2 linked regions of the Daphnia pulex genome follow. The protein of the gene in region 2 interacts with the protein of the main gene of each other region in a pairwise test. Links are inferred from orthologs where the notes say so. Each region holds a gene or a part of one and is shown on either strand. Other genes may lie near its edges.

The links.
Region 1: the proteins of ubiquitin-conjugating enzyme E2-17 kDa (region 2) and myosin-VIIa-like interact in a two-hybrid assay, tested with the Caenorhabditis elegans proteins (2 studies listed by BioGRID). The link is inferred for Daphnia pulex from reciprocal best matches to the Caenorhabditis elegans genes ubc-1 and hum-6.

Annotation. Positions count from the first base shown.
Region 1 is NC_060022.1:1,961,418-1,977,827, forward strand, and holds the start of myosin-VIIa-like, read left to right. Parts: upstream 1-6,586; 5' UTR 6,587-6,797; coding exon 6,798-6,842; intron 6,843-7,208; coding exon 7,209-7,322; intron 7,323-7,586; coding exon 7,587-7,733; intron 7,734-7,806; coding exon 7,807-7,991; intron 7,992-8,139; coding exon 8,140-8,261; intron 8,262-8,322; coding exon 8,323-8,579; intron 8,580-8,664; coding exon 8,665-8,830; intron 8,831-8,918; coding exon 8,919-9,049; intron 9,050-9,108; coding exon 9,109-9,293; intron 9,294-9,362; coding exon 9,363-9,573; intron 9,574-9,654; coding exon 9,655-10,035; intron 10,036-10,115; coding exon 10,116-10,271; intron 10,272-10,347; coding exon 10,348-10,941; intron 10,942-11,009; coding exon 11,010-11,216; intron 11,217-11,281; coding exon 11,282-11,485; intron 11,486-11,563; coding exon 11,564-11,740; intron 11,741-11,828; coding exon 11,829-12,052; intron 12,053-12,121; coding exon 12,122-12,368; intron 12,369-12,432; coding exon 12,433-13,008; intron 13,009-13,086; and 9 more. Other genes in the region: H(+)/Cl(-) exchange transporter 4-like, read left to right, coding at 1-25, 107-191. UniProt on the Caenorhabditis elegans protein: Myosins are actin-based motor molecules with ATPase activity. Unconventional myosins serve in intracellular movements. Their highly divergent tails are presumed to bind to membranous compartments, which would be moved relative to actin filaments.
Region 2 is NC_060018.1:6,447,216-6,462,570, forward strand, and holds ubiquitin-conjugating enzyme E2-17 kDa, read right to left. Parts: upstream 6,825-15,355; 5' UTR 6,589-6,824; coding exon 6,545-6,588; intron 6,455-6,544; coding exon 6,374-6,454; intron 6,263-6,373; coding exon 6,058-6,262; intron 5,960-6,057; coding exon 5,834-5,959; 3' UTR 5,529-5,833; downstream 1-5,528. Other genes in the region: twitchin-like, read right to left, coding at 1,054-1,075, 1,209-1,521; probable citrate synthase 2, mitochondrial, read right to left, coding at 7,628-8,160, 8,227-8,330, 8,401-8,600, 8,668-8,856, 8,910-9,107, 9,169-9,318, 9,537-9,584; uncharacterized protein LOC124189052, read left to right, coding at 10,354-10,842, 10,902-11,216; serine/threonine-protein phosphatase 2A 65 kDa regulatory subunit A alpha isoform-like, read right to left, coding at 11,690-11,703, 11,768-12,002, 12,064-12,333, 12,404-12,528, 12,595-12,853, 12,922-13,134, 13,221-13,601, 13,734-13,925 and 1 more. UniProt on the Caenorhabditis elegans protein: Catalyzes the covalent attachment of ubiquitin to other proteins.

The sequences.
Region 1 (16,410 bases), on a different chromosome or scaffold from region 2:
GACATGTTCTAGTAACTCACAATGGGTACGGTTTTTTTTTTTCCCGGTTTAGATTGCTGTCAATATTCTTCATTCAGTTTATTAAATGAATTATTTTACTTTTCAGGCGACTATTGGGAATCATTACAAAGAAGGATGTCATGCTTCACATGTCACATCACCAGAGGACTATACCTTCCGTTTTCCATTAAAAATTCAGGTTCATCTTTCGTTTAGTTTTGAATGTCTGCTAAAAAATTATATTTTCACTGTGCATGAAATTTCCGTCGATCGTCATCTACGTGCAATGTTTGTTTGTTGTTTTTTTCTTTGCCGGCCATCCACTCACATTGTGCAAATTCTACAAAAAGGAAAGGTTTCTAGTCGACCTTGTTTACATCAACTGCTTAAATTCAATGGAAAATTATCTTTTTTTACAATTGGTATAGCGGGGCCGCTTTTCTTGAGCTTTTTCGGCTAAATGAAACTTGCGCGTTTTCTTCGTCGATGTTACGAGGATGTTTGAAATAAAAAATATATATATTATTCAGAAAAATACAGAGTTCTCGGATCGTTCTACCGCTTTTGCCGAAGCCGTGCGTCTAGAGATTGTGTTTTGTTCTTAGAAGAGAGAAAACAACAGGTAGTTTTCATCCGGCGACTAACCCTTTTTCTTCTGTTTGTTTTCTTAGTTGTTTTGTTACTCCTTTGAAGTTGTTTTTCCTGGGCATTAACTTGTCAGTTAAAAGTTGCCGCTTGCCGCGCCAGATGTCGGGGATAAAAGCTCATTCTTATTATTACTGTTCCGTGGCGGCCAGTTTTTCCCCTCGTTTTTTAACTGTAGGTAAACCTTTACCCGGTTTGCATGATGTGTTATTATTGCGCCTGACGGGTTTCATTGTGAAAAAAAAGGCTTTATTTAATATCCAATTGAGCGGATGCGACTGCGTCATGCAAGAATTCTGCTGCTCTCCGTCAGCGCAGAGTCCACTTCCTCCGCAAAAGTTGGTTAATCAAGCATTATAGAATTTTTTGATCTTACGAGTCACGAAATAATTTTTTTTTCTCTTCTTATTGTCCAGTTTAGTTCCTGTCTAATTGTTAATCCTTCAATCCGTTTCGGTTACACTGAAGGGTGTGTAATTACACGCCAATTGAAGACATTCTAGCTCTCCCACGACAGTGTTAAGAATGTTTGAAGAGAGTTCATTAGATGAATGATTAGCTGTGTGTTTATTCAGCTGGGCCCCTGTTTAGTATGCAGTCGGCAGCTATAACCTCTTAGGAGGTGAAAATGTCAGTGAACTTGAGCTACCGGTTATTAGCCATCCGCGAGTTTAATTGAAACATTTCCCGCAATCGTGATAAAAGATTCTCATTTGCGCTGACAATCGTAGCCAACTCAGACAACTTGAATAGCCAAAATGGGAGCAAGGTCGGAATTTGTTTTCCTGTATTCACATATATTCGAAAAGAGACGAAGATGATGACCAGTAAGAAATGAGAATACAGCCGAAAGACGAGCTCCATACTCCCGACACAACAACAACAACACAGCAGTCATCCAGCAGCATAAAAAAATGTATACATATAAATATAAATAAAATTGGTATACTGTAGGAAATGAAGGGCTTTGGTCTATCTATTGCTTTGGGGGGTTCCACACCACAGGTAGAGAGACTCTGGCGTTCGGTACATTGACTCGAGCCTTTGTACGCAAACCTGTACCGGTACCTGTCCTAGCCTCCTGTCTCCTACCCCCTCAAAAGTGGGAAGAAAAAAGAGATAGAAGACCCTAACTCTAAAGTCTCCTACACTCGGCGTCAGTCTAATTTTCACCGTCGGCCATTGCCTGACGTGTTCAAGATCAATCGGAATTTTTATTTCTACGAAAATTGGACCCAAATTAGCTAAACACACCACGTACATTTCGTAAGTGTTTGAAGAATTCAGTTCAAGTTATTTAATTACAAGCCAGTTAGAAGTGGATTGGTGAATCGAAAGGGAGTGTTGAATTTAGATTTTCAAGGGTGTACTTTTGTATACCACAGGTAGGAGCTTCGAATGGTGTGCTGAGGCCCGGCGTTGGCCAGTCAGTTCGTAAGCCAGGTGGAGGACTAACACCAAGACTGGCTGGCATTTTTGGTATCAAAAAGCTGGAAAAGTGCACAAAACAAGAGTCTCACCAAGAAAAACGAAATCGCATGACTCGGTGCCGCCACGTAGTCAAGTGACACTTCAAAACTTGGTGGATCGAGGAGTTAATTTTGTTTTTGTTATTCTTCACTAGTTTGAGGTGAAGTTTATTTTTTTGTCGAGTGATAATCAGTGCAAATACGAAATTTTTTAAAAACGGCTCAGCACCCGAATAAAACAAAAAAGCTGAAGTGACATTGTTGCCACTCGAGCATATCGGGCCTTCCTTTCGACTGGATTTCTTTTTTTTTTAACCCATAGGAATTTGTTTTTATACGGTGACTTGCTGCTGGCCAGAGATCAGGTGAGCATATCGGCCTCATTGTTCCTCTTCTTCTTTCTGTTCAGAAAAAGGAAATCCATCAATTCCATCGTGCGCTTTTTTCCGATGGAAGACGCATACCTGGGCCCGTTAGAGTAATTATACTTTCCTCGGGGGGTGGATAGTATAATCTGGCTGTCCATGGAACAGATGGGAACGCACGTATTCATTAAGGCCATTTCAAGTGCAGTTGAGATAACAATATAAATTAGTTGCCGTGTGACGAAACAGCAATCATTTATTTATTGAGTTTCAAAGATTTTGTGTTCGAGTTATCCAGGGCAGGCTGCTGGATAATTCCGTTGTGTGCGTAGGCTTGTAGACGAAAAAGAGTCCATCAAACTTTCTGGTTATTCCTCTTCTTCTTCTATATACTGGTCTTTTTTCCTTTTTTCTTACCTGTTGGCTTTTGGATGGCAGGTAGGGTAAAAGAAAAAGAAACCCTCGAGCCAGCCTCTTTTTCTTTTTTGCTATTGCTCTCTAGCCAACATTCAAGGCCGCCTAGGTCTTGGGAAAAGAAAAAAAGGTAAAATACAAGAAATTAGACGAAGAGGAAGATAACTACCACTGTCTGGAATAAGCAGAGGAAGACCGACAGACACAAAAAGTTAATGTTTCCCCCCGCGAATCAGTTTTTTTTAGTTTTGATTGCTTCCATCAATTGAACGAAATCACGGAGTCAAGCGGATTTTGTTTTTTTGTTAGGTCACGATGTCATGCAACTTTGAAATTGAAACAAAAGAAACTAAACATTTAACCACGAATCGATTCTATTTTTTCCATATTAAGAAAAGTCAAAACCAGTCGGATCAGCCGGCTCAACAACCGTAGATTTTTCTTGGTTTTCGTGATTTCTCTCACACAGCCGGCGTTCGCTACGCGGTTCATTCAGTAGGCCCACACCGAAACGGAAGCGTCAGCTTGACCACGCTTTCGTTTTTTTCCAGACATATTATTTTTACTACCTGGGCTATTCTCTCACAGCGCGCAGTAAAATGTATTGAAGCGGAAAAGAATCCTGACTAGAAAAAATTCAAATCAAGAATCTTCCATTTTTCTTCTTCTGGGTTCTCTCTGATTACCTCATAATTAAATGTCGTCATCCACCTTCGCTTCCAAGAATTCGTAACACTGCCGTGAATCTGTTCGAAATCAAATGTCGGTGCGATCTAGTTCGATTTTTCATGTGTCAATGCGATTGCCATACAGGATTGTCGGGTCATTTCCTTGTTATTCTGGTTTTTTTCTACGATGACTCGCCAACATGTTTGTGTGTCTTTGCAGTGGACGTATAAGGTAATATGTGGACAACTAGACATAGAATTTTGTTTTATTCTAAGGGAATAACTGGGTGAGATCGGTCGTAACGGACTTGGTCGAGGTCTAGAATCAGATAAAAAAAAAACTATTCCCGTTTTCTTTTTTCGTGTATTCTTGTTTTGCTTTTTTTCTTCTTCTCCTTCATTTTTCTTCTTTTTTAAATTCATTTATTTCCACGGAGAGTTGTCTGCTGCATTGATGTTAACGGATTGCTCGTCAGAAAAAAGCCACAAGAGTCACAAGCCTCACCTCAAGTTCTTGTCCACTATTAAACACGAAAATCACACGTGGCGTCGTTTCTTTTTTGTTAAAAATAGAAGAAATAACCAAAAAGCCGAGAAATTTGAGAAGGAAATAATTTTATTGACATTTAATTAAAAAAGATAATCGATTAAAGCCAAGGGGGGGTCGCTCGGTCACGTGAGTTTAACGATCAAGTGACGATGAGCTCATAAAAGCTCGTGAGTGTACACCCGGGAAAACAACTAACCAGATTTCTAAAAAAGAAAGAAAAAATGTGAATAAGGAAAGAAGGAAAACACGCACTAAAATTGTGACGAAATGAAAGAAAAGAAAGAAACCTAACTGGACAGAAACCTTTGTAATGTGTTACTCCCCTCCAGTATTGGACATGAATATAAAGCACCCGGAGAACTCCATTTTCCACCTTGAGCTCTGTGGCTGTCAATTGGTTTTTTGTCAACCTGATAATAATAACAAACGTCCTCATTTCCATGCATAATAATAACGTACCAAAATTATTGATTTATTGCGTATTTTCTGTCGTTCTTGAGCTGCTGCTGACCGTTGAGAGTTTTTGATGGTGTTATTATTTTTTGTGGTATAGTTTTTTCTTTCTTTCTTTTTCGGACTGACAGGCGGCGGAAAATAATTGCGTGCTGTGCCGCAGTGGCGGGCAGCGGTGAATAACGGCCCGCGCGGACGACCGACGACGACGGCGGCCTTGTGTGTGGACTTTTGGACGAATTGCCACGAATCTCCAGGACTTACCAAAAAATATAAGAAAATGGTCATCGTTTCTCGGGTAAGTCATTCATTTTTTAAAAAAATTCCTAGTCATCTTGTTGTTACTTGGTTCATGGAGGAAAGAAAGAAAAGGCAACGTATGTCAGTCATGGAAATGTTGAATAATGGGCATGGCCGCTATTGAAATTGACATTTCTCCGCCGTGGGTGTTTGTGTAAATGTATTTACTTCATCACGCGGCTGCTGAGCACACGGCTGTTGTTGGCTGCCTGTTGGTCAATGACCCTCTCTCTCCCGGTGATGGTGTACCTGCGCTCTCTTCTCCACTGAGAGATGAACAGCAAAAAAAGCCAACGCCCGACACACGTAACATACATTGGTCGACCGCAGCCAGACATTCAGTAAAATTAAACAGCCGATGAAACTCAACAACGCGCCTTTCATATATCCGAAACGGAAGTTTTATTTCCGGTTTTGAATGGCGGGCGAGCGGACGTCCGGTTTTTAAAATATCGGCCGACTGATGATTCCTAATAAAGCGAAAGGGGGTTAGACATTTTTGTTTGGGTTGGAAAACATTTTTAGGAGAGAGAAAAAACAAAAACAAATCCAACTGTGAAACCCAGAACGAAACAACAAAGACAGACAGAAAAAAGTGACGCAATTGGGTCGCGCAGTGATGATTTTTTTTCTTCTTTTTCCGGTACACACATCTGCTGTTATGTGTTTAGGTTACACCACAAGAGTCACACAAGAGAAGTGAGACCTCCACCACCAAGATGTTGTTGCCTTTTCTTTGGTTATATTGTTCTTCCAGGGCCATATTGTGTAATAGCGCATGGACTAGAAGAAGAAGAAGAAGAAGAAGAAGAGACACCCACAAAAGTCAGTTGACGGAAGAAGGTTCAAAAACATGTACTGAAGGAGATAACGGGTTCGGCAACAGTCTGGGTATTTTCTCTTGGATGGTGCGACCGCAGTGTATAGTATATAGGAGGTCGTCATCGTCATTTACCACCGTGAAAAAGAATCGGAAAACAATATCGCAGCTAATGCTATACACACACACACACACGAGATGAGGGAGTGCGTGTGTGTGTCTCTACACACATGTGTCGTCTACCGCCAATGAACGTTTAACGATTAAGGACAACGTATTCTGAAAGATGCAACGACGCGGAACTAAAAGTCGAGAAAACTGAAAAAAAAGAAAAGAACCGGAGGTAAAACTGCTGGCTGAAGAACACAGAGAGGGAATCTGAATCTATTCAGCGAGTATAGTATATAGCTGTAACTTAATGTTTTATATATATTTTTCCCCTAGCTGCGACTCTCAGTGTGGCTGCCAACTCATTCAAAGGCGGTTGTTGGAATCTCTTTTCGTTGCAAGGCGTACGTGCTTTAGACTCTTGCGGCCATCCACCTGCTGTTCTTTTCTTATTATTATTACGTATACAGTATACCTTTTGGGCTCTGCGAGTGTTTCCAAATATCTACTAAGAAAAAGAAAAAGAAGTGGACACTGAGAAAACAGCTGACTGTTCAGGGCGGTAGCCAAGCAATAAGTGGAAAAATAAAAGAGAATGTAATCAAACAAGGAATGTTTTTTTCGTTGGGGGGATTTTTTCCCCAATCCTTGTGATACGCAATGTGTGTTTGGACTAGACGTCAGTTAATGAATGCCAATTGATCACGTGAACTTTGAGTCATTTTCATTTTTTTCCTTATCATTTGGGAAGTAGAGATAAGACGGTGTGCTGGCCTCTCCCTGCTCGCCATTATCACATCAAACAGTTTGTTCGCATCGAGTTTGAAGGTTTGACGTCGGTTGAATTCTCAAGTTTCTGATTATTCGGGAGAGTGAAAGTTTTGATTTTGGAAATTAAGGGCATACGTTGATTGTAGTTCAATCAAGTCACGATCGTCCATGGTCTCTCTGTGTTGTCGCCATTATTTGTCAAGTCGAGATTAACGTTGGCGGCTGGAAGAAAAGATGTCGGAAGAAGGCGATGGCTCGTCGACTCAGATTCTTACCTACGTGAGTTCCTAATTTTCCCTAGAACTGGTGGGCACTTGTTGCCGCGTCCAACTTTCCAAACTGCCCAGTGCCCATGTGTTTTGTTGTTATTTCGAGGTCAGCACGGTTTTCCCCTTGCCAAACAGAAGGTGGACATACGGGCCAATGATCATGTCAATGTCCCATTCTTATTGCACGACAATCCTCCGCTCTGCTTCGTCCACAATCCCGTTACAACTTCATTTTTGTCTGTTTTTTTTCTTTGTGAACCAAGTCCACCCCCCGTGGAGATTCGTTCCAATTTCGATGGAAAAATATAACAAAATGTTGTGACACTTGCTCGTTTAATATGATAATCAATTTGGAAATTAATTTCATTTCTATTAGGGCGACTATGTCTGGATCGAGCCCAGCACCAAACGAGAATTCGATGTGGCGATCGGGGCCCGGGTCGTTTCGGCCGAGGGCAAACGGATCCAGGTCGTCGACGACGACGGCAAAGTAAGTCTTATGTCACCTTTTTGTCTTTTATTTTTCCCCATCAGCCGTCAGCACGAAATGGTGAGGCAACAGCACCCCACCTTTTGTTTCAAACCGTTTCGAAATGCGTTGGTGACCGCAAGTCTCGATCTAAGCCACACAGATAAGAGCAATTTAGAACGTCACAACGTCAAATTGGTTTTCCCCTCCTCCTTCTTGTGTATTTATTTGCTTAAAAGTGTCATTCACAATTTTGTGTCACATTTTTTAAATTGAATTGCGCAGGAACAATGGCTGACGCCGGAACGACGCATCAAAGCCATGCATCCGACGTCCATTCAGGGCGTCCAGGATATGATTTCACTGGGTGATTTGCACGAGGCTGGTATCTTGCGCAATCTGCACATTCGCTACAATGAAAGCATCATATACGTACGTCATAGACTCATTTCATTGATTTATTTTTATGAGATGATCAATTGTTGATTTGATTTTTTGGTAACAGACTTACACCGGTTCGATTCTGGTGGCCGTCAATCCCTACCAGATTCTGCCCATTTACACGGCCGAGCAAATTAAAATGTACAGGGAGCGGAAAATCGGCGAATTGCCTCCGCACATTTTCGCCATCGGCGATAATTGCTACTCTCAAATGAAACGCTTTCGACAGGATCAGTGCATCGTTATCAGGTGAGACTTGTACATTGTTTAATAGATTACATAAAATTACGGTCGAAATTCCATTTCGTCTTGGTTGTTTCTTGATGTTCTCAATTCTCAGCGCACACCTGGGTTACCCGAGATTAATCATTTATTTCTTTTCTTATTGCGTTATCAGCGGTGAGTCTGGCGCTGGTAAAACTGAAAGTACCAAATTGATTTTGCAATACCTGGCGGCCATTAGCGGGAAACATTCGTGGATCGAGCAGCAAATCCTTGAAGCTAATCCCATCTTGGAAGGTATTTATTAAAATAATTCCCCTTAAAGTATGAAATGACGTCATTTGATTTGGTTAATTAGCCTTCGGAAACGCCAAAACTGTGCGGAATGACAACTCGTCTCGTTTCGGCAAGTACATCGACATCAGCTTCAACAAACACGGCACAATCGAAGGAGCCAATATCGAGCAGTACCTGCTGGAGAAATCGCGCATTGTGGCCCAGAATCCTGGCGAGAGGAACTACCACATCTTTTATTGCATGCTGGCCGGCATGACCAAAGAAGACAAGCAGAAATTCGATTTGCAGGATGCCAGCCAATACAAATACCTCACTGGGGTATATACAAGTTCAATTTATTCCCATTGTATTTGTTATATAGTGGAATGCGTTATTCAAAATTGGGTTTTTTAACATGTTACAGGGCAACAGCACGACGTGCCAGGGAAGGAACGACGCCAATGAATTTGCCGAAATCCGATCGGCCATGAAAGTCCTGCTCTTTACTGAGCCGGAAATTTCCGACATTCTTCGAGTTCTGGCCGCTCTTTTGCACCTGGGAAACGTTTCCTTCAAAGGAGTTGTCATCAGTAAGAAGTTCATTTAACATTTTGTTCACGACTCGGTAAACAAAATATTAACGTTGGAAACATTCTCGCCATTCTTCCCTTTGTCCAGGCAATATGGACGCTAGTGAAATTCCAGATCCTTCCAACGCTATTCGCGTCTCCAAGTTGCTGGGTGTTGATCCTCGAGAGATGGTTGACGCCCTTACCACTAAAACCATTTTCGCCCAGGGAGATTCAGTGGTCAGTTAATATTGAAATTGAATTCCCATTTGACAGAGATAATTGAATTGTATTTGCAGGTATCGAGGTTATCCAAAGTGCAAGCTGTAGATGTTCGAGATGCTTTTGCTAAAGGTATTTACGGGCGACTCTTCATCTGGATTGTTACCAAGTTGAACTGTGCCATCCGCAAATCCGACGAAATGGACACGAGCTCCATCGGAGTCCTGGACATTTTTGGTTTCGAAAATTTCAGCATCAACAGGTATTAAAGAATTGACTGGACACTAGTTGAAATGGCGGAATCTAATTTGTGTTTTTGGATCGAATAAAGTTTCGAACAGTTTTGCATCAACTACGCCAACGAGAATCTGCAGCAATTCTTCGTCCGACACATTTTCAAGTTGGAACAAGAGGAATACAATCAGGAGAATATCAGCTGGCAGCACATCGAATTCGTCGACAATCAAGACTCGCTTGATTTAATCGCAATTAAACAGATGAACATCATGGCACTTATCGATGAAGAATCCAAATTCCCAAAGGTAGTATTACTCGGTTAATTTCAAATAATTGTCTTTCGTTTAATAATTGGGTTTATATATAATTCGTGTTTTTTTTTCCAGGGCACGGACCAGACCATGTTGGCCAAGTTGAACAAGACTCACGGCAGCAACAGGAACTACGTGAAACCTCGTTCCGATCTGCAGGCCTCGTTCGGTTTCAATCATTTCGCCGGAGTCGTGTTTTACGACGCCAGAGGATTTCTGGACAAGAATCGAGATTCGTTCAGCGCCGATCTGATGCAGTTGGTCCACGTGACGTCCAACAAGTTTCTGCGAACGCTTTTCGCCGAAGACATTTCCATGGGCTCGGAGACCCGCAAAAAGGCGCCCACTCTGTCGGCCCAGTTCAAAAAATCGCTCGACTCGCTCATGCGGACTCTCAGCGCTTGTCAGCCATTTTTCGTGCGTTGTATTAAACCCAACGAGCTGAAACAATCGATGGTACAATAAAAAAAAATTTTTTTCATTAAAACAATTAATTCAATTGACACATATTAAAAATAACATTCCGGTAAATTCAGGTTTTCGATCGTGAATTATGCTGTCGTCAACTGCGCTACTCGGGAATGATGGAAACGATTCGTATCCGGCGGGCCGGCTATCCTATTCGCCACACATTCCGCGAATTTGTCGAACGTTACCGATTCCTCATTTCTGGATGCCCACCACCTCACAGAGTAACGATTTGAAATAATGAAATAATTTTAATTATCATTGCAGATGTTTTTAAAATGAATCGATTTGTAATTGCAGGTGGACTGTAGGCAAGCGACGGCCAGGATCTGTTCGGCCACACTGGGAAAGACGGACTACCAACTGGGTCAGACCAAAGTTTTTCTCAAGGATGCCCAGGATCTGTTCCTGGAACAGGAGCGCGATCGAGTCCTAACCAAGAAATTGGTCATCATCCAGCGTTGCATCCGCGGATGGATTCATAGACGTCGCTACGTTCGCCTCAGGAGCGCCGCTGTAGTCATTCAACGCCAGTGGAGACGTCAGGCCCAACGCAAGCGCTACCTGGAAATGCGTAGCGGATTCCTGCGGCTGCAGGCTCTCATCCGCTCTCGAATCCTGTCTCATCGCTTCCAGCACTTGCGCGGCCACATTGTCGGCCTGCAGGCCCGTTGCCGCGGCTATTTGATCCGTCGCCAGTTCCGCATGAAGACTCGGGCGGTCGTGGTCATCCAGAAACACGTCCGGCGGATGATCGCTCAACGCAACTACAAGAAAATGAAATACGAACAACGACATCGACTGGAAGCTCTCCGCTTGCGCGACCTGGAAGAGCGGGAGCTCAAGAAAGCCGGAAACAAACGCTACAAGGAAATTGCTGACCAACGTTACCGGGTATGACATCAATTTGATTTCCAACCTATAGTCCAGTTTATTTAATTGTTAATTATTTATTTGAACAGGAGAGGCTGATGGATATGGAACGTCAACAACGTGAAACGGAACGAGTCAATCGTCAACAGCTGGAAAGCAACCGCGAGAAAATGAAGGAGGCGGCCATCAAAGAGCAAGAGCCATCGAATATCGACAATTACATCGATGATCTTTTCAAATTGCCGCAAGATTCCGGCAACGAAAGGGAGAAGGAGACGGAAGGCAAGCCGCAATGGGTAAATTTATTATATTTTCTATTGATTCAGTTTTCTGGTATTTAATTTTCGAATTTGGCGCACAGAATATTCCCATCAAGAAGGGCGACGTGGACGAGCTGATGCTGGCCATTCCGCCCAGTACCGGACTGGGCCCAACGGAAGATTTGTCGGAATATCGTTTCCAGAAATTCGCCGCCACTTTCTTCCAGAGTAACGCCACTCACCAGTATTCCAGGAAACCGCTCAAGTCTTCCCTGCTCTCTCTGCAAACGCAGGGCGATCAACTGGTAAAATGAAAAATCAGTCAAAATTTAAAAATGTGTCTAATTTTTTGTTTCAACCTTCCGTGCTGTTGAATGGTGTAGGCGGCATTGGCTTTGTGGGTGACTATTCTCCGCTTCATGGGCGACATGCCCGAGCCGAAATATCACTCGACCGAGCGAGACAACACTTCAGTCATGACTCGCGTCTCGGCTACGCTCGGCCGCAATTTCATCCGCACCAAGGATTTCCAAGACGCACAAATTATGAGCGCCGAATCGGTAAGACTACGGGTAGATTTTGAGCTTGCGAAACGACGACAACCATTTTTAAATGGCGTGTTTCTTTTATTATTACGCCCATTAACAGGAAGCCTATCCTAAAGGCACTTCGAAACAGCGTTCCATTCGCCACAAATTGGTTTCTTTGACGCTCAAACGGAAGAACAAACTCGGAGACGACGTGCGGCGCAAGTTGCAGGAAGAAGATTACACGACGGAATCGTACACTTCGTGGCTGGATTCACGACCCACATCCAACTTGGAGAAACTTCATTTTATTATCGGTCACGGCATTCTGCGCGCCGAGTTGAGGTAATTTCCTTAATCCATTTGGTTTTCTTTGGTTGAGAATCAATTTCATTTTCGTGACGTGTACAATAGGGATGAAATCTACTGTCAGATTTGCAAACAGCTGACCAACAATCCTTCGAAATCGAGTCACGCACGCGGATGGATCCTCTTGTCGCTCTGCGTCGGCTGTTTCGCTCCGTCCGACAAGTTTATCAAATACCTGCGCGCTTTCATTCGCGACGGACCGCCCGGCTATGCACCTTACTGCGAAGAGCGTCTCGCCCGCACCTTCAACAACGGCACCCGCAACCAACCGCCTAGTTGGTTAGAGCTCCAGGTAATCAATAATTAAACCTTTTATCAATTTGAACATCACCGATAATAGTATCTGTCATTTCCAGGCCACCAAATCGAAGAAACCGCTGATGTTGCCCATCACGTTCATGGACGGAAACACCAAGACTTTGCTGGCCGATTCGGCAACAACAGCCCGCGAATTGTGCGACCAACTGGCCGAAAAGATCGAGCTCAAGGATCAATTTGGATTTTCCCTGTACATCGCCCTGTTCGACAAAGTGTCGTCGCTGGGCAGCGGCGGCGATCACGTCATGGACGCCATTTCCCAGTGCGAGCAGTACGCCAAGGAGCAAGGAGCCCAGGAGCGCAATGCTCCTTGGCGGCTCTTTTTCCGCAAGGAGATTTTCGCTCCTTGGCACGACCCGACCGAAGACACGACGGCCACCAATTTGATTTACCAGCAGGTGGTCCGCGGCGTCAAATTCGGCGAGTACCGCTGCGACAAGGAGGAAGACCTGGCCATGATTGCTGCCCAGCAGTACTTTATCGAATACGGAAGCGACATTAGCATTGATCGATTGCTCACCTTGTTGCCCAACTACATTCCCGATTACTGTCTCTCAACCGGAGACAAGGCCATTGACCGATGGGCCCAGCTAACTGTCGCCGCTTTGAAGAAGGTAATGTTTTAAGGTCCCTAACTTTCCCTTAATGTTACTTAATTCTCTAATGGCTGTTCTTTTTATGGTTATTGACAGAGCTATTACATTAAAGAGCGAGTTCCTTCTAGTCGGGTCAAGGAGGACATTGTCAATTATTCCAAGCTCAAATGGCCGCTACTCTTTTCTCGCTTTTACGAGGCTTTCCGCTCTTCAGGTACATGTCAATTCATTTCGTTTCTCGCCCCCCCTGGCTCCATTATTGTAAACTCACAGTTCACCTTTTTGAACCCCCCGTTTACACGTCTTGTTTATAGGTCCTAACCTGCCGAAGAACGACGTGATTATAGCCGTCAATTGGACGGGAGTGTACGTCGTCGACGATCAAGAGCAAGTGCTGCTTGAACTTTCATTCCCTGAAATTACGTCGATTTCTTCTCAAAAGTATGTCGTCGTCGTTATTAACATTTGCACCGCGTCATGGCGAATATCTTTTGATATCGTTTGTCTTTTCCTTTTTGCGTGTGTGCAGAACGAGCAAAGCTTTCAGCCAGACTTTCACTCTGAGCACGGTGCGAGCGGAAGAGTTCACTTTCCAGAGTCCCAACGCTGAAGACATTCGCGATTTGGTTCAATTTTTCCTCGAGGGATTGAAGAAACGATCCATGTACGCCGTGGCATTGCAAGATTACAAAGGTGAGATCATTTAGAAAGTCATCGACTCGTTCATTCGACATTTCGTTCGCCTCATTTGAGAGAGAAACCGCACGCTGGCAATTATAACTTTTTATTTGTTATTAATAATCAACAGACGAAGGTGCGACATACTTGCAACTGAGCAAAGGCGATCTGGTGGTCCTGGACCCGAATAGCCGCGGAGAGGCCGTCCTGAGTGGCAGCTGGTGTTCCGGTCGAAGTGAACGAACCGGCGAGCAAGGTGACTTTCCTTCCGAGGTCGTCTGTATCGTTCCGGCCATGAGCAAACCGCCCGCCGAGATCATGGTAAGTCCCCCCCCCGTCTAATATAGCTACGGCGGAGCAATAATAGCGCACCACACCATTTATCCGCGTTTATTCGGCTAAATTGTTGACGATTTTTCACGGAGCCTATGCGGGGTGACACGTCAAAATTGGCCGGCTGACTATACGTGCTCTAATTGCATGCCTGATTTCCTCATTGGCCACAGAGGGTCTGCGCTCTTTAGCTATTTGTGAAGGAAATCTAATTGAAAGTGTGGGACGACAGTGTCCTCATTCTTTTGGCGCTAACCGGTTCTTTTTTTTTCTTTTCTTTCTTTTTTGTTGTTGAAAATATCATCGGGACAAAGTCGTCATCATTATTCTTGCTGACTCTGGACTTTGGGTCTGATACTCTGCGTGCCCAGGGTTCTTATATATGAGACTCGATTTTTTTGGTTTCCGTGACATTCCCGTTGGCTTGTGTGTGTGTGTGTGTTGTTGGGTTATCTTTGGCGGACGAAGCGGAACCCCTTCTGTGCTGAACCGGGCAACTGTATTGCGGTCTCGGCCAGTCGACGACGGCCCATAAGCAATAATCGTAAAAACACATTGAAGCTTCCTTACATGCTCCTTTAATTCCACAATTCCTGGACAGTTGAAGCCAAAATAACAAAAAAGAAAAGAGAAACAGGAAGGAAAACCCGAAATACGCCATCATTTTTATTTTTCAAATCATTTAAGCTTTTATTAGTCGTTCAAATGTTGCACTTGACTAGCTTCGCTGAGGTCAATTATTTTTTCCTAATATTAGCTATCATATGGTCGTCGACCCATGTTCAACCGAGTGTCTAAATCAGCCACTCCTTTCTAATTTATCCAAGTTAAAATCTGGAATGACATGGCCTCCGATTCCGCCTGTTATTTTCTACCGACTCCAAAATAAATGAGGAGTGAAATTTCTCGTAAAGTAAACACGCCAAAAATGCCATCAAGGAAGTCTGTTTTATGGTGAGCCTCCGACTCTCCCGCCACCTTTAACCTCTCGCTCATTTTTATATCTACTGTGTACAAAAAGAGTCAGAAAAGAAAAAGAAAGATCGTTGGATAAGTGGTAGAAAGTCATCTGAAAAAAAACAACAGCGACACACTCATTACGTTAGTATGCGCATGTCGTCGTGCTCGTCCCTCTTCTTCTTCTTGGCATATCAGCTAATTTAATATTCCCGTCTGGCTCACGGAAAAAAGCAGTTGACGTATTATAAAAACTCTCAACCGAAATAAGAAAAACTCCTCCCATAATATAATAAGAGAAACCGATGTGACATATATTTTTGAACGTTGTGCGTTCAATTTGTCTCTTACGTTCGGGGGGGAGCGTAGTAGGCGGATAAACAAACAGGCGGGAGATTCAAAGAGCAAACGAAGGGCGGTTTTTATTTGTAACAGAGTCGTGAATTTAGCTTAGAGTAATCAGGTTTAAAAAAAAAAGAAAAATGCGTAGTAGTTCATCCTAGTAGTAGGCTCTATTCGTATCAAGGTACTTAAACAACAAGCAATTATATATCCAGCCAGTCGAACGACTTGAGGGCACATATACAAGCGCCATGTGTTATTAAAGGGACGTCGGGACCGGTTGGTTCTATCAGTTGGCGGGACGACGTCGTCGAACTCGGCCGCATAGTTTCTTCAAAGCTCCTCTTTCTCTCTATCCTCTTTAAAGTTTGAGCTAATTAAAAATAAAAAAAGAAGACGAACCAGTCAAATAGTTGTAGTAGTAGCTATTTCCTCCTCCCCCCGCCAGTATTTATTACATGTGTGTGAGAGGTTGTGCAGGTGTTGTGTTTTGTGGCAAGTTTGTACAGTTAGTTGAAAACAATGACTGACGCATGAACGCGTGATTAGTGGTGCGTCTACCCGGTTCTGCCAGCAGACGGAACCTTTTGACTAGCCAAAGAAAAGTCGGGAAAAATCTGTCGAGAAAAAGAAAAATCTTGAAAAACAACAAAAGAAGATAGAGCCGAAACGACGACGTCGAGGAAAAATAGATATTTTACACGGGGCTATTACGAGAGAAAAAGCAAGAAGAGGAGCTCGTCGGCAATGGCTTTAGTGTTGATGCCACCGCCGCCGATCATGGAAGTGGCCACCTACCCGTTCTTCTATAATGGGGTTTACTATCCGGCTGGAACGCCCGTCTGGCCGGTCAGCCAAATTTTTTTTTTGCCAAACAATTTCTAACGTTTTGTGTCCGCACATCTATTTTATTTTCCAGCTGTTTAGTTCCGTTTTCTTAAATTCTTGTTAAGACAAGACGCAACGTAGAGAATAAACCAAAAAAATCACATGAAAAAGAAATTTTGTTTTGCCGTTACGTGCGTGGACTTGTGGGTTTTTTGTTATTAAAAAAAAAGCCGAATAATAATAATTATTATTCTTTTGGGTTGTTGTTTCTAAAATAGGCAC
Region 2 (15,355 bases):
TTCGCTCGTCGGATTGTCACACCTTCAAAATGAATAATCACGCAGGATGCCGGCAAGATGTAACTACTAAATGCCGCGCGCGCAATTTAAATTCTAATTCAAAATTCGGTCAAATACCAAATATTTTTCACTTAGTCCTGAATTTATAAACTATTACAGTTTATTGTTTGATCAACACTATATCGAGTCGTAATGAAATGGGGCAAAATCTGAACGTACCTGGGAGCCATGATCTTTCAATCTCACAAGATAATCTCGCAATCGGTTAGAGTAAGCGCAAATCTAACGCTGAGAACTGATCACTTGATGTCGCACTGTGAAGAGTAGTAGACCATCACTGTATTGGGAAATTCATATGACCTCGTCGAAAGATCAAAGTCCAACTGTCCGAGTTACAAGGGAATAAGAAGCTCGAAGGAAACGTTGCACCTTCCAACGTCAACCGACAGAAGCGACTGAGAGTCAAACGAGCAGCTTTATATACGATGAACCTTCTTTATTTCTAGTTCCTGACAGTGTCGGAGTGAGAGCTAATTGAGGGGACAGTCACGTGATTTCATTTCCAGACTCGGCTATAGTCATGAGCCACATTTCCCCCCACATGCACACACAAGTCCGACATTCTCCATACCTCCGTCCGCACGACCGGAGATGAGGCGTTTCTCTTTTTCGACTCAGTCACCATTTCTCTTACATCTTAGCAACTCAAACATTTTTTTTTTCTTTTTTCTCTTTTAGAATTATATACAAGTCCTTTTGAAGAGACCGATATAGCTAATAAGTCTTTTAAGAAAATATGCCAACTTTTTACATTCGTTACTATTGCAGGCAATCAATATCGGTTATGGTATATCTTCCTGTTATTACTTTTTTTCTACGTATAATGACGTGCAGATGTATTCCTAGTTTATGGCTAATTTCAAATTTGTTTAGAAATCAACAGTCTTAACCAATTACACGGTTTTAATAATATTCGATAAGGTTTTGAGTTTTGCTGTTATGTAATTTAAGGTCTACAAATAATTGGATTGAAATTTCGAAATTTTGACTCACTTTTCTTTGGGTTCGTCCGTTGCTGTATTCCACCAAAAAGAAAACGAAACAAAAAAATACGAAAATAAAGGTTAAGTGTGCGGAGAGATAAATCATAAAATGGCATTAGAAGAAAATGAAAGATGATCAAGATGATTGAAGAAATTTGAACTCACGGCTGAAATTCAGGTTGATTGAGGCTGCCACTTCGCCTAATTTGTTATGGGCACTAACTTTATACGAGCCGGCATCTGTTTCAATGACATCATCGAGTTCGAGGACGACCAAGTACTTGCTGGGCGTCAGTTCTGTCATTTTCATCGTCGTGCGATCATTTTCGACCAGCTTGGTTTCGCCGCGAAACCAAGTGATGGCCGGCAAAGGATTGGCCACCAATTGACATTCGAATACCAATCGGTTGCCATCATCTTCTTGGCGAAGTGTCGGTTTCTGAGTGAAACTCGGGGCCAACTCTTCATTCACACCCATGGTGGCTCACTTGCCGCCTGAATAGGCGTGCCACCCTTCCAGTAAGGGAAGGGCGGGAATGGGATTCTCTGTGACTGATGAACGAAACTTCCCAGTGATTAGGACATCTAGAGATTCCGCTCCCGTCTGTACTAAATGCGATCGCCGCCGGATCCTGACAAATAAAACAACAAGTTTGGTATAGAAACATGACACGCATTAAATTAGATGAATTTTATACATTCAAATGTTTCATTGATTATGTAATATGAATACGAATTAAATAGAACTTATTGGAGCAATACACATATTTTAAGGTTTAGTTGTTTGAAAAAAAAGAATGTTGATTGTTTGTTGAGAGTTTTCTTAAATGGTGACTCAGCATTTATTTATGCTTTGCCACTTAATAATCCCAGACGTGATGTTGGTAAATAGTTCAGAAAAAAAGGTTTTAATTAACTTTTCTCTGGTTGTTCTTAATTTTGTCCCAGACAGACCAAAATACATTTTGTGATTGGATTTGCATTTTGATAGCGCATTATCTATATGCCATCAATTGATGTGCACGAGTACCAATACCAATTCCCTTTTACTTCTAAAAAAACAAAAATAAAAAGCGAAAATCGAAGAGAAATCATTTTCGAGCTTAAAAATAATGTGCACAATACACTGTTCATTAACCTTATTTTTACTTGAGGTCATGAAACGAAAGCTAGCTGATGCTGGATCGCTTTGAAAACGAGCCTAGGTAGAGGTACTATATGGGTAACAAGGAACCTAGACGAGCCAGCCAGGATTTCCTGAACAGCGTCCCAAAATTAACCTAGCTTGCTCAACCAAGCTCAAGGTAGTAGCCCCCATACTCTACAACTGACTTTTTCTTTGTAATGCCGGGTGTAGCCAAAAAGAAAGAAGGTCTACATATGCTGCTAGACTCTGCGATGTGGACGACGTCGAAAATAAAAATGTGAAATCGTTGCACTGCGCTGGAATTGATTTCACACATTTTCGGGAATATATAGACGAGTCTAGCGTCCTATATTATATATGAGCTCGTGAAAACCTCGAAGATGACCGGATTCAGTACGAGCTGATCCTTAATTTCTTGTCAACAAACTTGCCCCCCCCCCCCCTCAACGGATGTTGTTGTTTTCTCGAAAGTTGTTCGCTCTTGTAAAACCCACAGGAAGATAGGATGACGTAGGAGGAGAGTAGAAGATGTGAAAGAAACTTACCGTGTATCTTTACGCTCACTTCAAACTGTTGAGAATGGAAAGCACTGGGCGTGTGACACAAGAAATGACTACCGATGGATCGAGAGATGATGCCCGTTTATCAAGCGAAAAGTGAATCAAGCGTGATTTCAAAAAATCAAGGCGCTTATGTAACTAGCTCTCTTGGCTGCAACACCTACTAGCCAACTGCAGAGGAGACGACTTACTGTGGAGGAGAGCAATCACTTGGATCCCAGAAGGGCAAGAGCAAGTATTAGCAGCAGCAACCGTCAGCCAGTCTGTCCTGAAAATAGACTGGTCGACGGCGCGACAGTACCGGTTGGACTTGTGAAGAAAAAATCCCCAGCAAGCGGGAGAACTACAGCAACAATCTGCCGAACTGGCTAGAATAAAAAAAAATAAAAAAAAAATAAAATAAAATAAAAATTTCTTGTCTCTCTTCATGTCGTCTCCCTCTCCTTTTCGTTTTGTTTTTATTCCGTGTTTTCTCAAGTTTTATACCTTTAACGAGCAAGTTGGATTAAAATAGTTTGGATAAAGTCGAGCTACTTTTTGCAAAGCCCAGTTTCATACAGAAGGAGAAAATAGAATCCATTTTGAGGAGGAAAATAAGCAACTAACATTTTCCTGTTTCATTTTTGACACTATATCTATTGGACCTTTTTTCAGAATGTGTTTTTTTTTCAAGGGATCCTAATGCAATTGGACAAATCAGCTCATTTAAATTTAATTAAAGAAGAAAATATAAAATTGTATTATTATTTTTTTCCAAATGAAAATTGAGTCATACATTCCGGTAACTAATAACAGACATGAATGATTCCAAATGTCGTTAAATAAGTAATCAAATACGTAATAAAACTGCCAACTTGAGAGTTGAAAAATTCAAATAAAACGAAATCTCAATATTCTACATTCAAATTAACTTTCAATATAAAACAGATGCTGTCTGCGCCATTATTTCCAAACTGTGTGACATCGAATAAGACAGAAACGTGAAATTGTCTGCAATATTAATGAAGGCCATATAGTAACCCTATGGCGATAAGATTCTAGAATTTAATTTTCTGCAAAAAAATACGTGGTCTAAACTGACCGTTGTAAAAAAAAACGGACTTTTCTCATTTTAGGTTATTCCTGTATAATGTATTCGTTGAACCGAAGGCGGGTTTAAAAACACACCCTAAATAGTGGGTAGTCAAAATGTGTGTGGATCGAGCGAAAAGCTGATGTAGGTTGCTGCTATTGGTTCTGGTATGTTATATGTCGCCGTTTTTAGGAGGCGAAAGGGTGGTAAAGAATATATTTTGCGGTGGATCCTGCAAGGCGCGCCACATAGTTCGAATACTAGCGAGTTTCTTACTAGCGCGCTAGTCTGAAAATAAACCCAAACCAAAAATAGCTCTTTAGGAAACACGCTGGATTTACCTTTTCGTATGTTTTCTATGCACACAACCTCAGAAGGGATGCTTTCACATACGAAAGCAATAAGCGAGAGGGAAGTTTAATTTATTCTCCGGCTTTTGTTATTTCAAGTTTATTTGATGTTTATCTCCGTACCAATTTATTGCGAATGAACGGAAATCCAGTCAGCACCGTAAAAGGACGAATACATGTCTTTGATTTACGAATTACACAGAACTAAATATTTTCTACAGTCGTGTTTTAAAAGTGGATTTAGGACAGCTTTATAGTGTACACGGATGATTTTCAGACATTTACTCAGTCAAAGTTATTTTGATACTGTGCAACCAATGTAAATATAACAGGAAACAGGATGCTCTAGAATATGTTTTTCAATTTTTGTATCCATTCTTTATGTACTAAACACAATTTAAATCACTGTGAATCACTGTTAACAGCATGATTCATATTAAACAACATTTATGGAATTTTCGTATTTTGATTTTATTTATTTATTTTATCGTCAGAGGTTTTTGGCCACGGGAAGTCGGCAATAGACGGAACGGGAAGTACCAGGCGTAGCTTCTTCTCCAAGCGGTGAGGTTCTCAAGCTATGAGTTCATCCATCTAAAAGTATCGCAGTTGACTAGCCGAACTTTTCTATCTAGGATTTAAAATATAGCTATACTACATTTCATGAAACGAAAATTAGAAATCAAGTACCGATCATGAAAAAGGGAATTATGCAAACTGATCTCCTGAATACCTAATCTATCTATGTGGCTCATGCATTCACCAGCGTTCGTTTTCACACCTGAACCATCCGTGGGAAAGTTTACTATTACTGGCTAGTAGGCCGATTGTCGAATAGTACTTAAGCTTCGTAACGCAAGCCTCTCTTTGTATAAAGGGTTCATTCCTAGGGATGCAATTTCATTCAAACGACACAAACGTCAAACGGTATACAGGCCTACACGGTTTGTCCATGCAGAAAATCGGTTGTGCAAAGTTCCATAGTGACGAAGGAGAATCCATCGATTACTGCAGTAACTGCACATCCAAACTTATAGCCTTTTCAAAATGATTACTACAATACTACAATCTTGTTTGTACTTTAATTTGCCCATTTGTTTTATGAACATGAATACATAATAACTAATGCACTATTTCTAGCGATTAATTATTACTTGGCCACGTAAAATTAACGAACTGATACAGCTAAATTTCTAGCAAAAGGTTTTTTTAATACAGGTAAATCAAGTGTAAAGAATTTCGCAATTATACTAAGCTATCACGTGAAGGACGATGGGCACGAAAATTTATTTAGCAATCATTGTAATTCTTTTTACGATAGTTTTAAAGATGTCTTTGCTAGTTGGGAACTTCTTATCGGATTTCAATTTGTCTTTTGTATTTCTCGTGAATAAAAAATTGATTCTTGCTGAACTACATTCCAACCTGCTTTTAAAAGTTCAGGTTTCGCTTTTTCTGAAGCAGAAACATAACGGTGAGGTGTCAATCACCAATGGGAAACAGCAATATACAACAAGGAAATTGAGAAAGAAAAAAAAAAACACTTAGTAGTGAGGTCCATAAGACCTGGGCTTAACTGATTGATGGTTGGGGAAATTTGAAGAACGGAATATAGGAAAGTTGAGGCAAAAAGCAAAGCAAAGGTTGGTGTTTCAAACAAGCTAATCCATCCAAGATTGTTCCACACAAGCCTTTACTCGTTTTTCGTATTCGCGTCGATTCTCCTTGTATAGCTGTGCTGCCATCGAGTTGGCTGGGCTATTTGGATTGGGATCACTAAGAAGTGACTAAAAAAATTGATAAAGAATTCAATCAATCATCAAACAATAATAATCAATCAAAACATAAATACACATAGTATTTAGATGTATGAATCATATTTTACCTGGATAGAGGTGAGAATTGCAGAGACATCATAGGTGGGACTCCATCGATTTTGAAGGATGTCGAGGCAGATTCCTCCATCAGCATAAACATTGGGATGAAACATTTTTGACACAAATCTCACTGTAGGGGGCTTATTAGGGTATTCTTCAGTGAACTCAATGGTCAACTTAAACGTTCCATCTTCAAATGGAGTGTCATGGGGGCTGAAAATATTAAAAAAAAAATAATTAATATTCAATGTGCAAAAAAAGGAAATAAAACCAACATTATTTGTTAATAATTAAGTAAAGAAATTCATTTAGCATTCAACATACCCAAATATAACTGCATTCCATATCATAATATTGTTGTCCGTTGGAGCTCCACTTACCCCAGCAGGTGGATCTTCTTGCAATCTAGAGGATGTACATGAGATAAAAACAAAATAAGCGTAAAGAATACACTTCTTTTTTTAACGGAGCTTAGTTTAAAATAAGTATATTAACCTCTTGAAGTCCCTCATTAATCGTCTTCTGGCTGGTGTAGACATTAATTGTTGATTAACCCTATTCGACCGAAATAAACGCAGTTAACCTGATATAATAAGTTATCTGAGCACTTTATTGAAACTGTTGCGTTAAGAATTTATCCTTCGAAGAGAAATTCAATCGACTATCGATCAACCTAAACCATAAAATCTGTTACGAAGTGAGCTGAGAACAGAAGAAATCCTTAACTGGGGCAGCCATACAGCTAGTAGCCTAGTACTAGAAATCGGCAGCGCCCTAGTGGAATATTTAAGAACTTGATAGTGGTAACCGTCCATTTACAATTTTTCAATCACTTTCATCAATATGAACCAATGAAAAGAATGAACGTAGGTAGCTACAGAAAAAAAACGAGAAAAAAATATTTTCTTTTGTTTAGAAAATAACATAAAAAATAGAATTAAATTTAGAATATTTCGTCATTGCGCAATAGCTTTATTAAAAGAAAGAAAAAAACTGAAAAGAAACAACTTTTTAGATACAGCATTTCCAAACCAGCCATATTTGTGCATAACGCCCAAAACCGGTGATGTCAATACAGGTAACAAATAATATCTTGAAGTTGCCGGGAAAACATGTTCTCATTAACTTAATGCAAGCTTTTTCTTTTTGGGAGGTGGGTGGGTGGGTGTTGGGCTTGTAGCAGTTGGAGAAGACGAAAAAGTAGCGCTGAAGTTGAAATAAAATTTTGAAACACAAAATCAATCAAAAATTCTTCGGTGTAGTTACATCCAGTGAAAACGTTTATTATTGTGGGTATTACAACTATTACTTTAGGGTTTTACAGACGATCAACTTCTCATTACTACTATGACAGGTGACACCATCGAAACGTGTTTGTACCAATCCCTTGTTCCAGTTAAGTCGCCGTTATTAAGAAATTCTATTTAGGTTTGCATTGAAAAAATTCCAGGAGATGGTGTCGCACACTCAGGAATAATCTAACACGGATTCGACTTACAGTCAACACGAAAACAAAGTAAAAGTTTGATTCTTTAACATGTAGTAAGGTTGTATATTACTATCAGTTCGTCAAAATTATTACGCTCCTTTTGCCGCATTGGCTTGGGATTGGAGGGATTTAACTAATTTCATAAGTCCATCAGTTGACATGGATTTGGGTCGCTCGAGTGGGAGACCCAACGCACGATCCCAAACCAAAGATGCCAGCACACCGAGTGCTCGAGATACACCGAATAGTACGGTGTAATAGCTCATTTCAGACATGCCGTAATGCTGCAGCAAAACACCAGAATGGGCGTCAACGTTTGGCCAAGGATTCTTGACCTTTCCTGTTTGCAGAAGGATATCTGGGACAATTTCGTATAGCTGGGCAACAAGCTTGAACATCTTGTCGTCGGGCAAATGCTTGAGAGCAAATTCACGCTGACAAGTGTAACGCGGGTCAGTTTTGCGCAACACAGCATGGCCATACCCAGGTACTACTTGTCCAGAAGCAAGCTGCTGTTTAATGAGCTGGACCAAACCCTCTTTAGTCCACCCATCTCCCAAAGCAGCTGTAATTTTGTTTAAGAACACCAAAACTTCTTGATTGGCCAGTCCGTGAAGAGGTCCTGGTAAACAACAACAACATTTTAATTTGGACCTCACTACATATAAACCGTGCTAAATTAGAATACCTGCTAATCCATTCATACCGCCAGCAAATGACAAGTATGGATCTGATAAAGCAGATCCTATCAGATGGACTGTATGTGCCGAAACGTTTCCTCCTTCGTGATCACTACAAAAACATTTAAAAAATAGTAACGCCAATTAAACTTGACTTAATTATAATGCCAAGACGGCATTACCTGTGAATAGTTAGATAAAGTCGCAACAGTTCGGTAAACTGAGGGTCGGTGTATCCTAACATGGATGCGAAATTAGCTGACCAATCTTTTTTGGTATCGATCGCTCCAATCGAAGATCCATCGCGATATAAATTACGATAGATTGTGGCAGCGACAGTAGGAAGTTTGGCAATCAAATCCATAGAATCTTCGTAGACGTACTATAACGGTCACATCAATCGATTGATATCGTGTGTTTAAAAACATGTAATATTAATGGTCACCTACCTCCCAATATTTAGATTTGTGAAGTCCCTCAGAGTAAGCTTTGGCAAATTTGGATTCACTGTTCAGGGCAGTGATTGCTGCACTGAACTGTGACATTGGATGAAGGTTGGCTGGGAAATTATTGAGCATGGTCACAACATGAGATGGAAGATCAGCACGGCTTGCCCATTCTTTAGACAAGCTTTTCACCTAAGAAAAATAGTTAGGTAAAACATACAAGTGATATATCCATCAGATATTACTTGGGCTTCATTTGGAACATCTCCAGTAATCAAAAGCCAGAATAAACCTTCAGGTAGAGGTTCTTCCCCGCCTTTAGCTTTAGGTAGCATACGTTGGCATTCTGGAATAGATAATCCCCTGAAGCGGATTCCCTCTTCAGGATCTAGGACAGATGTTTCTGTGACCAAACCTTTCATGCTGCGCATACCTCCATATGCCTAGTTTTTTTTGTGGGTTATTTATGATTCATCATGTGATTTGTTCATATGTGTAACCCACCATATCCACTGTAATTTCACCAATTTTTACATTGCCATGTTCTTTACGGAACTTCTTGACACGTTCCTGTTCATAAGGGATTTTATTGTTAAGAACATCCTTCAGATCAGTATGATCAGAGAATGCTCTTACAATGGTAGAAATAGAGCCCTGCAGGATAATTATAAAATGTGTTACATAATGAGAATACCAATATTTATACAACTATATATATTAGAGGCACCATTTGAAACAAAAGTGCTAATTAAAAAAAGACATGGAAAGAATTTTTGCAATATTTAAAGAAATGGATCCTAGAAAGGCGGAAATTTGTTTCGAACAGAAGTAAGACGTCGAGGATTTTTTCACTTATACCAATTATATTTTACCTGAGGAGGGGAGCTTAACCGCAAAGATAATGTGCGAAACAGAGCCATGTCAACAAGAGATGCAGTTTAACTAGCAATGACGAAAGTTAATAAAGCTGGGTAAAGTGACCGAAACCGTGATCCGCAAATATGGAGCTTTTACGAGGTCACCAGATCTTCGTGAATCGTGTGTCTGTAACTTAGATAATCTAGTGTAAATGCCTCCAGTTGCTTTTTAATGCTCTGAGATTTATAGAGCGCCATCTCTTGTACATTGCAAATATTTGGCAAAATTCGGCTACCGTTTTGTTGCTTACTCCTTTTTATAGATATTTCCTATTTCTCTTGAATGTGTAAGGTTTATGGAATCCAAATTTATTATATTCTCTTGATTTATATTTCGGAAGGTTTTATTATTTAACCTGAGCACAGTAGAGGCGCTAACAGATCCCTAGAAATGAAAGCAAAGATCGCCATCGGGCCTTTTGAAGTAGAAACAGACGATGTTCTTGTAATTGTCCGTTGCCAAATGGTCGAAAAATCCGTTTTAAATTTGTGATCCAGAGATAAAAAGAGTGGTAAGCCAGAAAAAATCCTTTTATGATATTTTTCGTTGCGATTTTTTCCACCTTTCTTTGAAGTTCTCATTCATTTATATTTCACAAGTAATATGATATAAATTAACCGTCTGACAACGTAGTGTTCGTTGTAATTTTTCATTAACAATTTTAAATATCTGCAGAGCAGTTATATAGTTATGAAACTCTGCTAGTGGTTGTTGTTTATTGGATTTCTATTTTGGAAACTACATATTCATCTATAAGATCACTATTGTGAGATGGAGCGGTCTCGTCCATCGAAGGATTCTTCTCAACAGCTAAGAAACTCTGGGACCGTAAAAGTGTTGAAAAAAGGTGCAAACGGAACAGTTCCACTAGACAAAGTCGGTAAAAACAAATTATTTTCATCTGACACCAAAAAAAGGTTCTCGTCTGTCAAGAAACGTTCTCACGTTGAAATTCTCAACACTTCAAACGCCAAAAGTAAAATAAACTCTCCTATTGTGGTAATTGAAAATGAAACATCTCATGTGGACATACTTCAAAGAATCCAAGCTGTTGGGATACCTAAAACATACAATTCAACATTATGCAGCTATTCAACCACTGCAACACACCAGCAAAAATTAAACCAACCGATATTTCAAAGTTCTGTTGTCCTTATGAAAAACCTTGAAACACTGAAGAATTTGGAGATTGAAACTCGGAATTTACTCAGCCACAAAGTTGAAAAGGATAAAAAAATGCAGAAATTATTAAACTCAAAGGTATTCTTTTTTATGATTTATTTTCTAAAGAAAACCTATAATCTTTGGATGTTGTATAGGTTTCAACAGTTTTGAATCCATCCAGGCAAATTTTTTCTCGCCTTCAGCCTATTTCATTTAATGTGGAACAGCTTGTGGATCAAGATGAAACAAGGCTTCACAATCTAGCAGAAAAGAATGCTCCACAAATGCGATATAGGGATCCTGAAATTGCTTTGAAAGATTTTATTGATTGTATGGTTATTTCTAAAACTCCTATCCTACCTGAATCTTCCTTTCATGATCAGTGTTGTCAGTTTCAAATCAATCCATTTATCCAACATCAGATTCCAGGCAATAATAATTTAATTCCATATTCATTTTGGTTTCTGTAAGAGTTGTATAAAATTTTTCTCCTATAAACTTTGTATCTTAAGAAGTTACACAAATTTTCTTACGGTTGTATTTCTAATTCTAATAAACTACGATTAAAATTAATTCAATTCTACTCATACGTATCGAATATGAACAAAAAACGTTGCTTTGTATTTTCAATTTAAATGATGGAGGGGAAGGGGTTACATTTGAACAGCTACATTAAACATCCGGTTGGGATAAGGACTTCGAAAAAAATGCGAAACAAGTATGTCGCTGAAGGTGAGTAGCGAGTGTGTGTCTGTCCTAATCGATATCCCATGAAACGAAGGGTTCAGTGATAAAGTCAATGATGATAGTGGTACTACATAAAGAATAGGGACTTGCCAATAGTAGAAATTCGGGGGATGAAATAGAAGTATTAAGAGAGGAGAAATTAGAGGGACAGCAGGTCACATCTATAGATCTTTACCGATGGATGTTTTGTTGATTTTCAGCCGGAGAGAACTAAAGACAGAAAAACAATTGTTTGTACTATTCGCTGATGCAACAAACTATAAACGAATTTTACCTGCAAGAGCTTCGGATGCAAAATATTTCACATCGACATCGGTATCTGTGATTAATTTATCGAGCACGGGTTTAATAGCACTATGGGTTGCCTGTGCTTCCATTCGAGGTGTTAATTTCTGCAATGACTTTGCGACGTTAAAACGAACATTCGCTACGTTATCATTCGCCATAGAAATAACCGTTGGAAGCAGTACTTTGCCAGTCACATCTGGTCCACATGCTTCCGACAAAACCTAGAAAAAGAATACGTTAATATATATAATAATAAAATTGAAGGTTATTTCTTTTTCTCACGTTGATGCAAAATAAACACGTCATACGATGAAGATAATTCTGATCTCGTGCCATTGCCAATACTTTCGGAATTACGGTACTCTGGGCCCATTCAACACCAAACTTCTCTACTAGTTTCTTCAAGTTGTTCGTGGCAGCTTCACGGATAGCATAAACATGATCAACTAACCAAGCCATACAAAGCGTGTTCAATTTCTCGTCGAAGAATTCTACTCCCAGTTGACCGGCCAACAAAGGCATATACTCGATGATGGCCAAACGTACTCTCCACTGTTTCGGATGAATGAAAAATAAAATAAAATTATTAGATCTAAGATGAGAAAGTTAGACGAGCACTTACTTTGGAATCTTCGGCTAATTCAACGATCGCCGGAAGAAGCGACTGCGATAACTGCTGAATCCCAATAACACTATTAACGCAATCCAGATTCGAGATAATATTTAATCGAACTTCAGGACATTCATCTGAAAATTTAAACAAAACCAAAGATGAATTTGATTATCTTCACGTAAATCGAATTGAAAGAGTACCTTTCAGTTGGGTCAAGAACAACGGTAAAAGATGCTCAATCGTGTTGTCTTTGCCTAAAATAGGACTAAGACCCATTATAACAGCAGCCAGGGCCGATTTGACATGTTGATTAGCATCTGAGACTAACTCTTTGACACACGGCAAAATCTGGTTCATGATAAGATTTTCTCGGAAAGCGGGATCTAGGGCTTGGCAGAAATCCCGCACCTTATGAGCAGCTGCGGCTCTTACCTCGGCTTCGGGATCTTTCAGCAGCGCCTTTAGATTTTAGAATAATAAACTTTGATATTTCCGAATATGTTTTTTAAAGACTACAATCACCCTACTTGGAATGCGGACACCAAATCTTGTTTGGAAATTTCCGGGCCAACAGCTTTTTGTAATTCGGTGAACTTATCAGCCACCATATAACGTACACGCCATGATTTGTCTTCGGCACACTGTCTAAGAGTTGGCATCACAAGCTGTTCGACATCCTCTTGCTGAAGGAGCTCGGCCATAGACACGCAAGCTTCAACTGCCAAAAGTCTCACGGAATCCTACAAAAAAATTATTTATTAAGAAAATATGAAAAGGAATCGAAATTTAACGGATAGAAATATAGAGGGAAAAACGTGTTAAAAACCTGCTCATCTTGCGCCAAGAGGACGAACATGGGAATCAAATCGGCCTTTAACCATTCGACTTCTACAACGCGAGCAAACTCTCCAAGTTTAGACGCTGCAGCACGACGCACCATAGGAGTATCGTCTTGACAAAGCATACGAAACGTTGCCCTTAGTTCTCCTTTTACATTATGCGACACTTTGGAATACGCAACGCTGAAAAGTCCGCATGCCGATGTACGTGACGTGAACCAATCCCCAGATGCAAGTCTTCTCAATAATGGAACAAAGTATGTTTCCAGGTCTGAAGGACTATGCTGTTCTGATATGAGACGAAGTGACTCAACAGCTTTATCGCGAACAACTGTTTCTTCAACAGTGGCCAAAGATTCCAATGGAGGCTGAAATAAAATTTGTAGTAAATTAGGTCTTCTAATATTTCAGGAAGTAAAATGTTTGTAAGATGGAAAATAAAGCTCAAGTATGTATGAATTTTCAATATGTAAAAAAATAGTTTGGCAAATATTACTTACAAGAAGACAATGAACAAACTCTGGACCGCCAACTAATGGAGTAAGAGCTCCCAGTTGTTCCGCTAATGCCAATAGCACTTCATCTTCATCATAGATTGTATCTGTGAGGAAAGGTATCAACTCGCTGCGAGTTCTTTCAATGCCCAATGCCAAAGCAATAGTTGATAACTTCTTGATGGAGTTGAGTCGAAGCTAGAAGTAAAGAAATGTCATTAACAGAAAATTACATAACAAACATATTAAGTAAGTGTCAACAATAATATGAAATTAATATTATTTCATTATCCTAAGAAGCATTGAATCAAATGTAGATCAGAAGAAAGTTTTTAATTTTAAACAAAAATACATTTGACACAACACTGCTATGACTGTTGCAATAGGCTGTCTGATGGTTTACAATTTACATGAATACCCCTATTGTAATAGGGTACTGCAGCAGTGTACATATACCGCCAATGAAACTCGAAACGACATTTATGGAAGTCTTTCCATTAGAATCACATTATATTAACGAGAACATTAAAAGATTACCTGGACATCTTCATTCCGTAACTCATCAATCAAAACAGCTATAGGATACAACGAATCATCGGTTGTTGCATCGGCGGCCGCCATCGTGTAAAAGTCCAAAAAAACCTAACTGGACCAATGTCGTCCTAACTCCTACACTTACTGATTTACCCAGCCCTTCTTCCCCAATGCTACGTTGCCAGATCGAAGGGAAAGGTGAATTTTTTTTCAGACTCGCTTGCTTTTCAATTTTCAAATACGTTTAACGTTTTACATTTTACATTGATTGCATCTATTTTCTCTTTGAAAAATTAAGCCATAATTCTACGTGTTTCGGCGTCAGAACCCTTCTGTGGAACTTCAAAAGTGTTGTGTACTTGTGTTTTTCACTCTTTTCCCGGCGAACAGAACATACGTAATTTATATAATTTTCTAGAAATTAAGGAATTTTGCTCTCCTCTGCTACTGAGGGAAACATTTACACTAAAATCGAATTAATTATTTCTGTGTGGTACGGCTACGAGTGTGACATCTTAGAGGTGTTGCCGGCCCATTAGAATTTAATTTTCAGCTTTATATTTGTGGCACAGACTTTCACCGGAGTCATGTACCCTTAGGTTACTTCACTTAACGTAAAGTCTGCAATAGGCCCACGATGAGTTGACCATTGTCAAATACTACGGTTACAGTCCAGTCCAGAGCCAGCCATATCGGCGTATTCCCTCTGATGCACTCTTTGACCGCTTTGGTTAAACGACTTCGTTGGTGCTAAAATGGGTTTATTTATTTAGTAATCAAAATTATAAAAATACGAGATAATATAGAATGTTTGCATTAATAAGTAGAATTTTGTTTAATTATGTAATTTTGTTACTACATAAAAAAAGTCAGCGAACTAGCGAATTTTTTGTAGCTCACATAGCGCTTACAAATGGGGGAAACCCAAGCCTATTTTTGATTCTTTTCATGCGAAAAAAAATAAACACTCCACCGGACCGGATGAAGATCTAGTCCAGAGTGATCTCCAGAGACTTTTCAATCGTTTTACCTCAGATCTTTGACTTTATAATTTTTTTTTTTGTATTCGATTTTGAGATATTAACTTTTTCTCA